Linked DNA regions of Caenorhabditis elegans. The protein of the gene in region 1 purifies or fractionates together with the protein of each later gene. This does not show direct contact. Each region holds a gene or a part of one and is shown on either strand. Other genes may lie near its edges. The genes, in order: atx-2 and pab-1.

What was found.
Region 2: the proteins of atx-2 (region 1) and pab-1 purify together in Caenorhabditis elegans (affinity purification with mass spectrometry, with the first as the bait; one study listed by BioGRID). This does not show direct contact.

Annotation. Positions count from the first base shown.
Region 1 is NC_003281.10:10,459,655-10,467,426, forward strand, and holds atx-2 (Sm domain-containing protein), read left to right. Parts: upstream 1-1,734; coding exon 1,735-2,070; intron 2,071-2,118; coding exon 2,119-2,410; intron 2,411-2,533; coding exon 2,534-2,795; intron 2,796-3,114; coding exon 3,115-3,288; intron 3,289-3,342; coding exon 3,343-3,578; intron 3,579-4,801; coding exon 4,802-5,161; intron 5,162-5,214; coding exon 5,215-5,436; intron 5,437-5,671; coding exon 5,672-6,081; intron 6,082-6,218; coding exon 6,219-6,533; intron 6,534-6,640; coding exon 6,641-6,932; intron 6,933-7,387; coding exon 7,388-7,600; intron 7,601-7,649; coding exon of another isoform or gene 7,650-7,657; coding exon 7,658-7,758; downstream 7,759-7,772. Other genes in the region: ecps-1 (Proteasome component Ecm29 N-terminal domain-containing protein), read right to left, coding at 116-259, 306-430, 485-595, 654-775, 824-896.
Region 2 is NC_003279.8:10,432,356-10,437,348, reverse strand, and holds pab-1 (Polyadenylate-binding protein), read left to right. Parts: upstream 1-2,110; 5' UTR 2,111-2,117; coding exon 2,118-2,373; intron 2,374-2,424; coding exon 2,425-2,618; intron 2,619-2,670; coding exon 2,671-3,261; intron 3,262-3,307; coding exon 3,308-3,592; intron 3,593-3,640; coding exon 3,641-4,054; intron 4,055-4,104; coding exon 4,105-4,305; 3' UTR 4,306-4,488; downstream 4,489-4,993. Other genes in the region: madf-10 (MADF domain-containing protein), read left to right, coding at 28-437; rpl-30 (Large ribosomal subunit protein eL30), read right to left, coding at 505-679, 733-881, 1,062-1,085.

The DNA.
Region 1 (7,772 bases):
AAAGCAGGCAAAGTTCGTGAAGATTTCGGCATGAAATATTGTAAAATTAACAAAATGCTAGGCATGTTTCAGATTAAAACCAGGAAATTCGCTTCTGAAAACTGAAATTACGTACATGCTTCGTGCAGAGAACACGAGAATCGCCTGAAAGCATCTGGCAATGATTTCCACGTCGACAGAGCTCATCTCGATCGTCGGCCAGTGTTTTTTCTCGATTCTCGCGAGCTCGTGGAGTCCCGGCAGGCACAACGAGAGAATGCTGGAAAAAATTATATAGAAAATATAAATAGTTCTACTTTACTTACTCGTAAATGTAATTGAGATCATTGGGCTTCTTGCTGAACGATGTCAAGTATACAGGCAGAAACTCTAGCTGCTCGGCGGCCTGGATCCGGTCTTTTGCCATTTTGAGATAGATCAGACTGAAATTCTGGAAAAAATATTAATTTTTTGGGTTATACATCGTCTGGAGAACGCTACAAACCGATGAAATGGCACTCGGGCCTTGGAAAAGTTCGAGCAGACGTGGCACTGGGAGACGGATCGCCAAATTGCTCTTGACGACTTTGTTGAAGTGTGTGAGAAATTCGGTGACCTGGAATCACGAATTTTAGTCATTTTGAATCAAATTTCAGCGAATTTTTGCGTCTTACCAGCTGAATGTGCTCCTGCTTTCTCCCGGCAAACTCCAACACATCGCACAAGTGCCGATCTGTGATAGTTTGTAGCTTGGCGTCCGAGTTGGCGTTGACGAGCCGCAGGAAGACTCTTTCCACTGAAAATTTCAAGTTCATTATGTAAATTAGAAGCTAGACTAGCTTACCATCATTTGCTGAGTCGAGAGACGTCAGCGAAGCTGATTCTCTGGGAGCATCGACTTCCATTGGGCTTTCCATGCTGAAAATACTAAATATTTAGCGTTTTACGAAGAAATTAACGTCGAAAAATGAAGAAATTACACTGAAATTGCTAAAAATTGTTCAAAACAATACGAGAAACTCGGTTTTTCCGCAAAAAGTAAAATGTTCTTGAATTTATTCCAAAATGTCATCAAAAATATTTTTATTTTCAGTCTGCGTCTCTCTTCATCGTGTCAATGGGGCGAACTTGACAAGAGACGTCACAGAACCTTTCTCTACAGAAATTTGAGTCTTGAAAAAAAGACCGAAAAACAGGGGAAATTTTTAAATATTTTTGATGAGCGATAAATTTTAAATTGAGAATTAGTTTTGTTTATTTCAAATTGTATTATCGACAAAGTGTATTGGAAGATAGCGCAGGGAAAGAATTTCTCCGAGTGGGAGTTTCCCCAAAATCTGTGGTGTCAAACAGATAAATATTTCCCAATCGCGAAATTTTGCACGAGAAATGTGGTACCCGGCAAGATAATTTTTTGTCAAATGAAAAAAGTGTGTGCTCCTATGAAGAAATGTCCTATCTTTCTTTTAAGAACAAAATCTGAATTTTGTCAGACCTAATTCAATAAATTGCGGATAAACTTTTTGATTTGGGGAAAATGCTTTTATTCATTGCCCAAAAACTCAACTGTTGAGGCGAAATGTTCATGTTTTACCACTTTCCTTGGAAAAAATCCACTAATTCCCACTATATCGACTTTCCTGAAAACCCCACTGTGTAAAATGCGCGCGGCACACTTGCGAAACCCTGTGCGGCGCACTTGCATAGGGCGGAGTCTCAGGCAATCCCGACGGAAATCGGCGCGTCATTTACCGCATGTGCGTGTCCTCCGCTGTCTGCGTGCTCTCTCGTCTCTCTCTCGAACGTTTTTCAAATTTTTCCGCGAATTTTGTGGATAATTTTCTTCTTGTGGCTCGTTTTGCACGTGGTGAAACCTTGAAAAACGGGATTGTGTTGGAAATTTCAAAAATTTGCCCAAAACTGTTACTCATATTAAACTTCCATTATCGTTGCGAAATTGCTGTTTTTAAAATTCAAATTTTTTCCATTTTCAGGTACATTTCTCCTGTACCCAAACTCTTTGACTGCTCCACAGACAATCTTCTATTTATTTATATTTTATTTGCATCCAAAGTGCGAATGAAAGAAATGGTAAGCGCTGGCAACTTGAAAATTTCTTTAAAAATACAATTTTTCCAGTCAACACCAACGGGTCTTCCTGCGCTAAATGGCGATGTGTTGAGCGCCATCAATGATATGATCGGACGTGTAATTATCATTAATACTACGGACAAAAAGCGATATTCTGGGGTGCTGGGCGCCGTGTCTCAGGATTTCGATTTCGGGATGCAGTGCGTCGTGGAAATTACGAAGGAGAACGAGAATAACTTGCTGAGAACAGAGTCGGAATGCAGAGACAAGATGGTATTTCACTATAGTGATATTGTCGATTTTGCGTACGTTACGCAAGAGATCAAGAAGCAGCATGCTGGTAAGAGCTGTTTCAGGGAACTTTTTCATTAAAAAAAATGCATGACATCTTTAATTTTGGGCCAAGTCGGGTTCACAGTTACGATTTTTAATCCGAAAAAGCTGAAAAACTCTCCATTTTCAGTCAGCAAATTCGTCACCGATAGACAATACCACGGAGATACTCCAATCGAGGGCGAAGAGCTTCAGGAATGGAACGGAGGTGAGGAGGACGGACTCGGAGGATCCATTGAGGACGACGTCGTCGTTGCTGGTGGACAAACCGCCGCTCGTCGCAGCAACAATCACAACAACGGCACCGGATGGTCGGTCAACGACATGTTCGCCGCCAACGAGAAGATGAACGTGGTGTCGACGTTCAAAGAGGATTTAACGCAATACACAACGTAATTTATTTGAATTTTTTCGCTTGAAAAATCCAGGATTTTCGGAGTCTGCAAGCGTTTTTGGGCATCTGAATCTATTTTTTTCAGTTTTGCCTTGAAAAAATCTTGTCACTGAACCATTTTTGCAAAATTTTGCATAAAAATGTCCTGAAAGTTGATAATTGACAATTTTCAGGTTATTTTTAAGCATTTTTTCGAATATTTCTACCGAAATCAGTGTTATTCTCTGATGGATCAAGTGCTTTCCTATATTTTGACCCGATTTTTTAATTTTAATTTTGGAAAACATCGTGCAAAGCAATAAAATCCCAAATTTCAGCGTCGAAGTGGTAGGAACCGACGAAGATCGAGCACGCGCCGAGCGGCTCGCTAGAGAAATTGAGTCCAACTCGTCGTCGAAGTTTATGGCGAACTTGGAGAACGACGACGACGAGCGAGATTTGGACAAAATCACGCGTCAAGAGGATTTCGAGAATGGCAATGGCCGAAAGCGGTTGGAATTCTTTAAAAATTTGAATTTATTAATTTAAAAATTTATTTGTTTCAGCAATAATAACAGCTTCAACCAGCAACAACAACAGCGCCGCAATCCGAATATTGCACCAAACGGGCAGCCAGTGAATCGACGTGCCGAGGGTCTTCGCGGAGATCGTCGTAATAGTGGAAGCTCTTCAGCGAACAATAGTCGCTACGGTGCTCCAGCAGCGGCTCAGCAGAACTATTCACAGAATCAGCAGCAGCAGCAAGGTCAAAAAGGTTATCGCCGCCAGAACGAGGAAAATGGTTCGTGTACATTCCCGAGAGTACAGTGTGTCTCTTTGATCATTATCTCTCTCTCGTTCTCTTTCTCCGCGTCCAACAGTTCTTTTTTCGGTGTATTCCGTTTTCTTGACCCATTTCGCATGACATAATTTCGCTAGCGGCTGCAGCGGTTGTCTTCAGCTGATTAATTGGAGTGTTTTTCCTCGTGGGATGCGGAAAAAAGCGATTTTTTTTTTGCAAATTTTCAGCAAAAAAATCAGATTTTTCCCATCAGAAAACCAATTTTTCATTCTTTCCTCACATTTTGATCACAGAAATACGAAATAATTCTGCAATAGTGTTATTTTCAGTGGAAAAATCGTTTTTTTTTCCGATTTTTGACTGAAAAACGTTTTCTTTGTGTCAGAAAAAACAAGTAAATGCCGATTTTTAAGTGAAAACGCCGAAAAAAAAAATTGAAAAAATGACCGAACGGGTCCCAGTTTATCCATACAAACACACCTGCGTCTCTGATACATGCTTTCATCAAGTCTCTCTCTCTACCTCTGTCTACCTCTCTCTCTCTGTCCGCTTCCTCACCGCTTATCATCTTCATCATCATCATCACAAGTTGGTTGTGTTCTTCTCGAAAAACCGTGTTGTCTATGTTGTGTACCAATCGATCGTTAGGGAGGCGCCACACTTTCTCTCTCTCTCTCATTCCTTTCCGCTCTCTTTTTTCTCGGTGATTTTTTGTTGTTGTGTGTGTGTCTGAATGATGATGAAACATGCGATCGTTCATACCTTTTTTGCCTCCTTTGCAGCTTCACCAGTCCTCAGATCCTTCTAGATAATGGAAATTCCACAGTTTTCGAAGTTTTTAGTGTCTTTTAAAAGAAATCTTGATTTAAATTCCTCTTGAAAATCTGTCAGAATCAGATCAAGAGCATTTTGGTATAGCGTTAAAATACTGTAACCGGTCTCGACACGACATATTTGTGTTTAATGGTATGCACCTTTAAAGAGTACTGTATTTTCAAACTCTTTTTGCTGCGAAATTTCTGTTTTTTCATAGTTTCATATGAATATTCCACAGCAACAAGAGTTTGAAATATTTTTTCAAGGCGCCCACCCTTTTGCATTAAACAAGCTTGTCGTGCCGAGACCGGGTAACGTATTTTTGGTAAAAATTCGATTTTTGATTCCTTAGAAAACAATTTCCGTCGTTTTTGTTTAAACAATGACTCATTCTACTTAATTTTCAGACTGGCAGATGGCCAAGGGGAAGGGCCAGAACCAGGGCCACGACCACTCGTTCCGTCAACAGCAGAAGCAGATGCTGGATCCGAGACCCAACAACAATGTGAAGCCGGCTGACGATAAAGCTCAATCTGCCACCACTGCCACTGCTGCTGCCGGTGGATCCCGTGTGACAGATCTCAAGAACTGGGGCAACGAGTTTTCGATTGCGACGGCTCCAAAGGATCAGGCTCCGGCGGTGCCAGCTGGAAACTCGGGTAGTGCCTGGAATCGCGGACCACCGAGCTCGCTGGTTGCCAAGGGATCATCAAATGAGTCGACTCCACCACCGACAACCAATGGAGAGGAGGCTGAGACTAAAAAAGGTATCTATTTTCTATTTTTCTCAACAAAAATGAACAATTTTGCCAATTTCCAGAAGAAGCTCCATCCACAAGCGTCGATGTGGCAGCTGCACCAGTGCAAAACGTACAGAACGACGCGGAAAAGCATCAGGAAGACGACAATGTTTCCGTTACTTCAGAGAATGATTCAGTGATCACTTCGAAGTCATCGTCGTTCAAATTCAACATCAATGCTCCAGAGTTCAAGCCACGTGTGGCTCCGGCGACTCCAACAGCGACGACTCCAGTGCAAAATGGTAGGAAAACGAACAAAACGGCTTTTTTTCAGTATTTTTGTATCAAAAATTAATACAGAAATGTATGTAGAAAAAAGATAATTTTTGTTGAAAGGTTTGAGAAAGATCTCAAATTGTGTCATTTGAGAGGGAATTTTTAAACCAAAATAAATATTTTTCTAAATACACATAGGTATCAATTTTTGATACAAAAATTTTGGCTGCCAAGACGGAGTTTTAACTCTAAAATTTTCAGAATATCATCCACAACAACAGCCACATCCAGCAATGATGGCTCCACAACAAGGACCACCTGCTCCTGGAATGGGAATGGTTCCACCACACATGGGCGGCCCACAAAATCAAGGTCAACCACCGATGATGATGTGGCAACAGACTGGACAACAGCAACAAGGCGGTGGCGGCTATCCACAGAATCATCAATTCCCAATTCAACATGTCCCAATGCAAGGTGTTCCTGGACAGATGTATGGCCCGGGAGCTGCGACTCCGGTCACTGTTGCTCAGCAGCCAAATCAGCAGCATCAGGTGCCAACCAGTGCGGCTGGTGGTCAGAATCATCAGTTGAGAGATGGAGAGTATCGTGAGAAGCAGCCACTCTACATGCCATATGGACCGCCACAAATGGTTCCAGTCACATCTCAGGTAACCGAAAATTTGGAATATCCCTGTAGAAATAGGGAAAACATTTATTTTTAAAGGCCTTGAATTTTTAGAATTTTAAACTTTTCCTAATCTAAAATTCCTGATTTCTCAATTCCAAAAATTCTAAATTTTTTCAGCAATTCTATCATTCACAGTACCAAGGCCAGATGCAGCAAGCTGCTCCATACCAAATGAAGATGATGCCACAGCAAGCTCCACAGGGTGCCTATCAACAGAGATATCAGCAGCCACAAGTGTACATGATGCCTCCACAGGGTCAGCAGCAGCAGCCGAGATACCAGGGTCCTCCACCACCACAGCAACAGCAACAGCAACAACCGCAGCAACAACAATTCTCCGGAGAGCAAAGTCGCCCACAATCACATCCGAATAGTCAGCCAACGACTCCGGGACCACGTGGCGAGTTGCCAAAGATGAGCGGTGCTCCACAGGTGAGATTTCTTTTTTTTTAAACTTATTCGCATGTTTCCCTCTTTCAAACTTTCTGTGCCTAATAAGATGAAGCTTTTCAATATTGTGACCGTGACTCTATTTTCAGAACGGAAACATGCAGGCCGAGTCGAGCAGCAACGCTAGTCACAGCGGATCGACGAGCTCTCAGTCGGGACAACGAAGCGGATCTCCACCAGGTGCTGTTCCTCCACCACCACCACCACAGCAGCAGCATCAGCAACAACAACATCCACCACATCATGCTCCTCCACACGTCGGAGCACCACCACCACAGATGATGCAGCAGCAGCAGCAACACATTCAACAGTATATGGTGATGCAGGGACCGCATCAAATGCATCCGCAGATCCCTAATTACTATCAGCAGCCTCAGGCATGTTTAATCTCTCTCTTTCTTTCCTTTTTTCAGTGGTATTTTTGATTTTTGGTTTTCTTGTTTTTTTTCCTTTCTTTCAGAAGTTTCAGAACAAAATTGTGATTGACTCTGCTAAATTTTTGTAGATCTGCAAGTTCTACAGCTGAAATCGCCCAGTGAAAAAGGAGAAAAAATTGCCTAATGTTTTTTTTCATACTTTTTTTCTTAAAAATAGCGAGAAAGTTTCGATTCCGACTGTAGAACTTGAATGTGCCCAAATCAACGAAAAATTGGCAAATTTTAGCTGAGATCTCCTATTTCGGCAATTTTTCTGGATAGATTTTTTTTTTGAATTGAATTTTGAGATTTTATTTAAAATTACCATTTTTTGAGAAATATTTGAAAATGTCTCACACTCTATAAAAGAACAAAACCGAGAAAAAAACGTAAATCTAATTTTCAATCATTTTCAGCAAGTATTCTATCCGATGATAATGCCCCAACAGATGCCAATGCAACAGAACCAACATCCTCAACAAAGTCTTATGGGCGAGCGATCTGATCAAGGATTCCCGACGTCGGGATACTTTGACTACCGTACAATGCCAAACTATCAGCAACAACAACAACAGCAACAGCAACAAATGCACCGCCAGAATTCGCTTCCACAGCAGTTCCAAGGCAATCAAGGTAATGTTTTAAATGTTTATAAAGTTCAAATTTCTAACCGTTTATGAAGCTTTGAAGGTGTAAATCCATCTGGTCAACAATCTGGTCCACCACCACCGCCACCACCGTCTCAACAAGGCACACCACGTGATCAGCAGCACTCTCAGAGCCCCCCGTAATCATATCTATATGC
Region 2 (4,993 bases), on another chromosome or scaffold:
CTTCAGTTATAATTGGTTTTTTTCCAGTCGAAGAAATCGAAAAGCATTGGAAAAATCTGAAAGACACATACGTGAAAACTCGACGGAAGTTAACATTTGATCATGATGGATGCCCTATACGACCGAAATGGAAGTTTTTTGATTCGCTCATGTTCCTGGACAGTGTGAATCAAAACGATTTTGTGATGAAAAAACGTCCGATGCAATTCCAGGGACAGCCGTACGATTTATACCAAGGTCCCTCTTCTAAGAAAGAGAAACTAGAAGAAATGCCATCTGACGAGTACATGGAATTCTGTCGATCGTTGTACCTCCCATTGAAAGAAATAGGATACAAGGATCGCATACACTGGCTGAAGATCCAAAAGTCCATCCGTGACATCGTTTACGAAGCGCAACTGGAAAGTGTTACTAAAGCCGCACCTGATTTGCAATAAACAATTTGTGTTAAAAATACTGATTCTAAACTGTTTTCAACAATTTATTGTAACAATAACAAACAGCTTATGCGCTCTCAGATGGAACGCTGAGGATGATGTCGGAGTCTCCGGCATCAGTGACTGCAAGGGTGCACACACGGAAGAGACGTCCACAGGCGGTTCCGAGCTCAATGTTGTTTCCGTTGTAGTGGTGAACTCCAGTTTTGGCGAGCATGGCGTAGTACTCAATCTCGGACTTTCTGAAAATTAATCATGAGTTAATAAAAATCCGAAATGATAAATATTGATTTACCTGAGTGGTGGAGTGTTGTTGGCAATGATGACAAGCTTAGCCTTTCCGTTGAGAAGGGATTTGAGAGTCTGCTTGTATCCGAGGACGTATTGTCCAGTCTTCATGACCATGGAGAGTCGGGAGTTGATGTTCTCAGCATTTTTCTTGACCTAAACGAATATATGGATCATCAGGCGTTCGAATATTGGAGAATTCGCGAGCGCTTACATTGAGCACCCGAAGCCCGTGACAGAATGAGCGGGGAAGCTACTCCTTCTCAATTAAATCACCCGAGCTCCGGATTACTCCATCGCTGCTCGAAAATTTAACTCCAGAGAAACTTCACTAACCTGTGGCTTAGCAGCTGGAGCCATGATGATTTACCTGAAAATAGAAAAAATAACTGCGTGAACTTCTAATTTGAGCCACGTAAATAGAGCAAAAGAAGGACGGCACATTAAAAAACAAATAACTTCAAAACGTCTTTACGAAAGCGATCATCCGTACTACTTCAGAAAATTTCAACGTCTCAAAAAATAAGTGGTAAGAAATTCAATTTATAATAGTTTACAGCTTGAAGAATTATATAAAAAGGCGTTTATCTGTTGAAAGTTTGCAACTAAAAAACAGAAATAAGTCGAATAAACTAAAATTTGGTTTCAAAAACATAATTTTCTGCAAAAAAGAAACGAAACAGCGAAAAGTATCAGATTTTGGGCCAGAAATAGGGGCAAAGCAGCGATAACTACGGTTCGCGATGCATTTCGTGGCGAGACCCATCGGCACATTCCCTCCTCCCTTGAAACACTAGTGTGTCTTTTTCCGGTTTTTGGGATCCGAGTTCTCCTGGCTCTGAGCAAAAGGACAGTAAATCCCAATTTAAACTGCTCAAAAACCCATAAAAATTTAAAAAACCCTAAAAATCACCAAAAAAATTATTCTTTGGACGATCCGACACCAAAACGTGAGTTTTATTGATTTTTCCTATTTCGTAATTCGAACCGTTACTTGTTTCCGTGCTAAATTGTTTTCTATGATTATTTGGGAAGGACATATAGTTTTCTGTCTCTTTTTGTTGAATAACAAGTAATTTTTTACCGATACGAATAATTGCTGCGTGTTTCCCGATCGATACTTCCCAGGTCCCGAGATGTGAGCGTTTATTAGACAATTAGGCTAACTCCGCCCTTTCTGCTATTCTTAGCGTACTATCGTCATTTGCTCTTTAGTTGTAGGTAGGCAGACACTACATTAACCCGCGGTCTGGCTAGACGTCGCCTGACTTCCTCGCTAGACGTTGTTCCGTGACCCAACTCCTCACCCATAATAAAAAAGTACGGAAATACGTGACGGTCACTAAAATATTACTTCTATTCTATTTATTCAATCTTCAATTCAGTAAAATCATGGAAATGAACGTCGCTGCTCCCGCTGCCGCCGTTGCTGGCGCTGCTGCTCCTCAACCAGGCCAAAATCAGACCGGCTCGTCGTACACCATGGCTTCGCTCTACGTCGGAGACCTCCACCCGGACGTCAACGAGTCGATCCTGTTCGAGAAGTTCAGCGCTGCCGGCCCTGTTCTTTCTATTCGTGTCTGCAGAGACAATGCCACTCGTCTCTCATTGGGCTATGCCTACGTCAACTTCCAACAACCAGCTGATGGTTTGTTTGTCTCCAAATTCACTTCAATCTTTAATTCAATTCAATTTTCAGCTGAACGTGCCATGGACACCATGAACTTCGAGGCTCTTCACGGCAAACCAATGAGAATCATGTGGTCTCAAAGAGATCCAGCTATGCGTCGTTCGGGAGCTGGCAATATCTTCATCAAGAACCTCGATAAGGTCATCGACAACAAGTCAATCTACGATACCTTCTCCCTGTTCGGAAACATTCTCTCCTGCAAGGTAACGTTTTCTTTAGAGCATTGCCAAACCGCCTTCAATTTATGTTGTACAGGTTGCTATCGACGAGGACGGATTCAGCAAAGGCTACGGTTTCGTTCACTTCGAGACCGAGGAAGCTGCCCAAAATGCTATCCAAAAAGTCAATGGCATGCTTCTGGCCGGGAAGAAGGTTTTCGTTGGCAAATTCCAGCCACGTGCTCAACGCAATCGCGAGCTTGGAGAGACTGCCAAACAGTTCACCAATGTCTACGTGAAGAACTTTGGAGATCACTACAACAAGGAAACCCTTGAGAAGCTCTTCGCCAAGTTCGGAAACATTACCAGCTGCGAAGTCATGACTGTCGAGGGAAAGTCCAAGGGATTCGGATTTGTTGCTTTTGCTAATCCAGAAGAGGCCGAGACTGCTGTGCAAGCTCTTCACGATTCAACCATCGAGGGAACTGACTTGAAACTTCATGTCTGCCGTGCCCAAAAGAAGTCTGAGAGACACGCTGAATTGAAAAAGAAGCACGAGCAACACAAGGCTGAGCGTATGCAGAAGTATCAAGGAGTCAATCTCTACGTCAAAAACCTCGACGAGACTGTCGATGATGATGGCTTGAAGAAGCAATTCGAGTCTTACGGAAACATCACGAGTGCTAAGGTTGGTAAACTTTTTCAAAATGCTATCATATACATAATATTTTTAGGTCATGACTGACGAAAATGGGAGATCAAAGGGATTCGGTTTTGTCTGCTTCGAAAAGCCGGAGGAAGCTACAAGTGCAGTGACTGAGATGAACTCAAAAATGGTGTGCTCAAAGCCATTGTATGTGGCTATTGCTCAACGTAAAGAAGATCGTCGTGCACAGCTTGCTTCTCAATACATGCAACGTCTTGCAAGCATGAGAATGCACGGCAACGTTCCAGGAGCAGCCATGTACAACCCAACACAGCCAGGACCAGGATACTATGTTGCTAATCCGATGCAACAGGTTAGTTTTTTGTTGTTTTTTTTGTAATGCTCGAATTTATTATTTCAGCAGCGCAACTTCGCCGGTGGACAACAGATGGTTCGCCCAGGAGGTCGCTGGGGAATGCAAAATCAGTACCCAGTCCAAAATCAGTACATGATGGCTCAAGGCCCAGGTGTCTACCAAAACCGCATGGGACGTCCACAGAACCAACAAGGAGGACCACGCGGTCCACCACAGCAGTACAATCAAGTCGCTCAAGGAGGCGTCCGCATGCAGGGACCACCACGCACCCAAAATCCTGGAGTCCAACAGCAAAACGTTCCACGTCCACCACAGCAACAACAGCAGCAAAGACCAGCTCCAACCGGACCAAAGGCTCCACCACAGCCATATCAGGCATACCAGCAAAGACCACAAGGAATCGTTATTGGAGGACAAGAGCCACTCACATCTGCAATGTTGGCCGCTGCTGCTCCTCAGGTAAGCTTACTTTGTTTTGCAATACTTAATTTCATGATACATCTTTTCAGGAGCAAAAGCAACTTCTTGGTGAGCGTATCTACGCTCTCATTGAGAAACTCTACCCGGGACACAAGGACGCAGGAAAAATCACAGGAATGATGCTCGAAATCGACAATTCCGAGTTGATCATGATGCTTCAAGATAGTGAATTGTTCCGCTCGAAGGTCGACGAAGCTGCATCGGTTCTCGTTTCCGCTCAGAAGCAATAAGTTCATTGCCAAGTGCTCTTAGCACGTTCCCCCAGTTGCTAAGCATACCCATCTCCTGTTTTTTTTTCTTACTGTCACCCTTCTTTTTGTTACTTGTTAGTGGTTGGTTTAGCCGCCCCACACCCCACCCCTTGAGTAAGCTCACTTTTGTGATGTTTATTCACGTTAAAATAAAATCATAAAAATAATCAATGTTAATGGGCAAGTTATAGAAAAAAAAGAAGCAATGTTACACAGATGCCCTTCGCAAACGCATTCGACACCTTCCATCTCATCCCACAAAACAGCTTTTCTACACCCAATAGGAGAATCGGATGGAACGCAAATTCGTTGTTCACGTATCAAACCATCTGAAATTCGAAGCTGACTGCAATTGTATAATAATTAACTCACTAGTCATGGGCGCTGTTCGTCTCGAACATTTCGGACCAACACATGTTGAACCATCGAAATCACAATAACCTTGAAATGAATCGCAAACGAAACATTGCGTTGAAATTGTTATAGGAATTAATATTAAACAAAATGCTACACTTCGTTTCATCGTGAACATTTAGTAAAATGAGTTAAGTTTTGGTATCCGGTGAGAGTAAACATTTACTACTTGAACACAGGAATTCGACTACTGTTCGTGACTCTAGAGACTATTAATATTGGAGAAAGGAAAGTCAGCGTTTTGTTTAAAGAC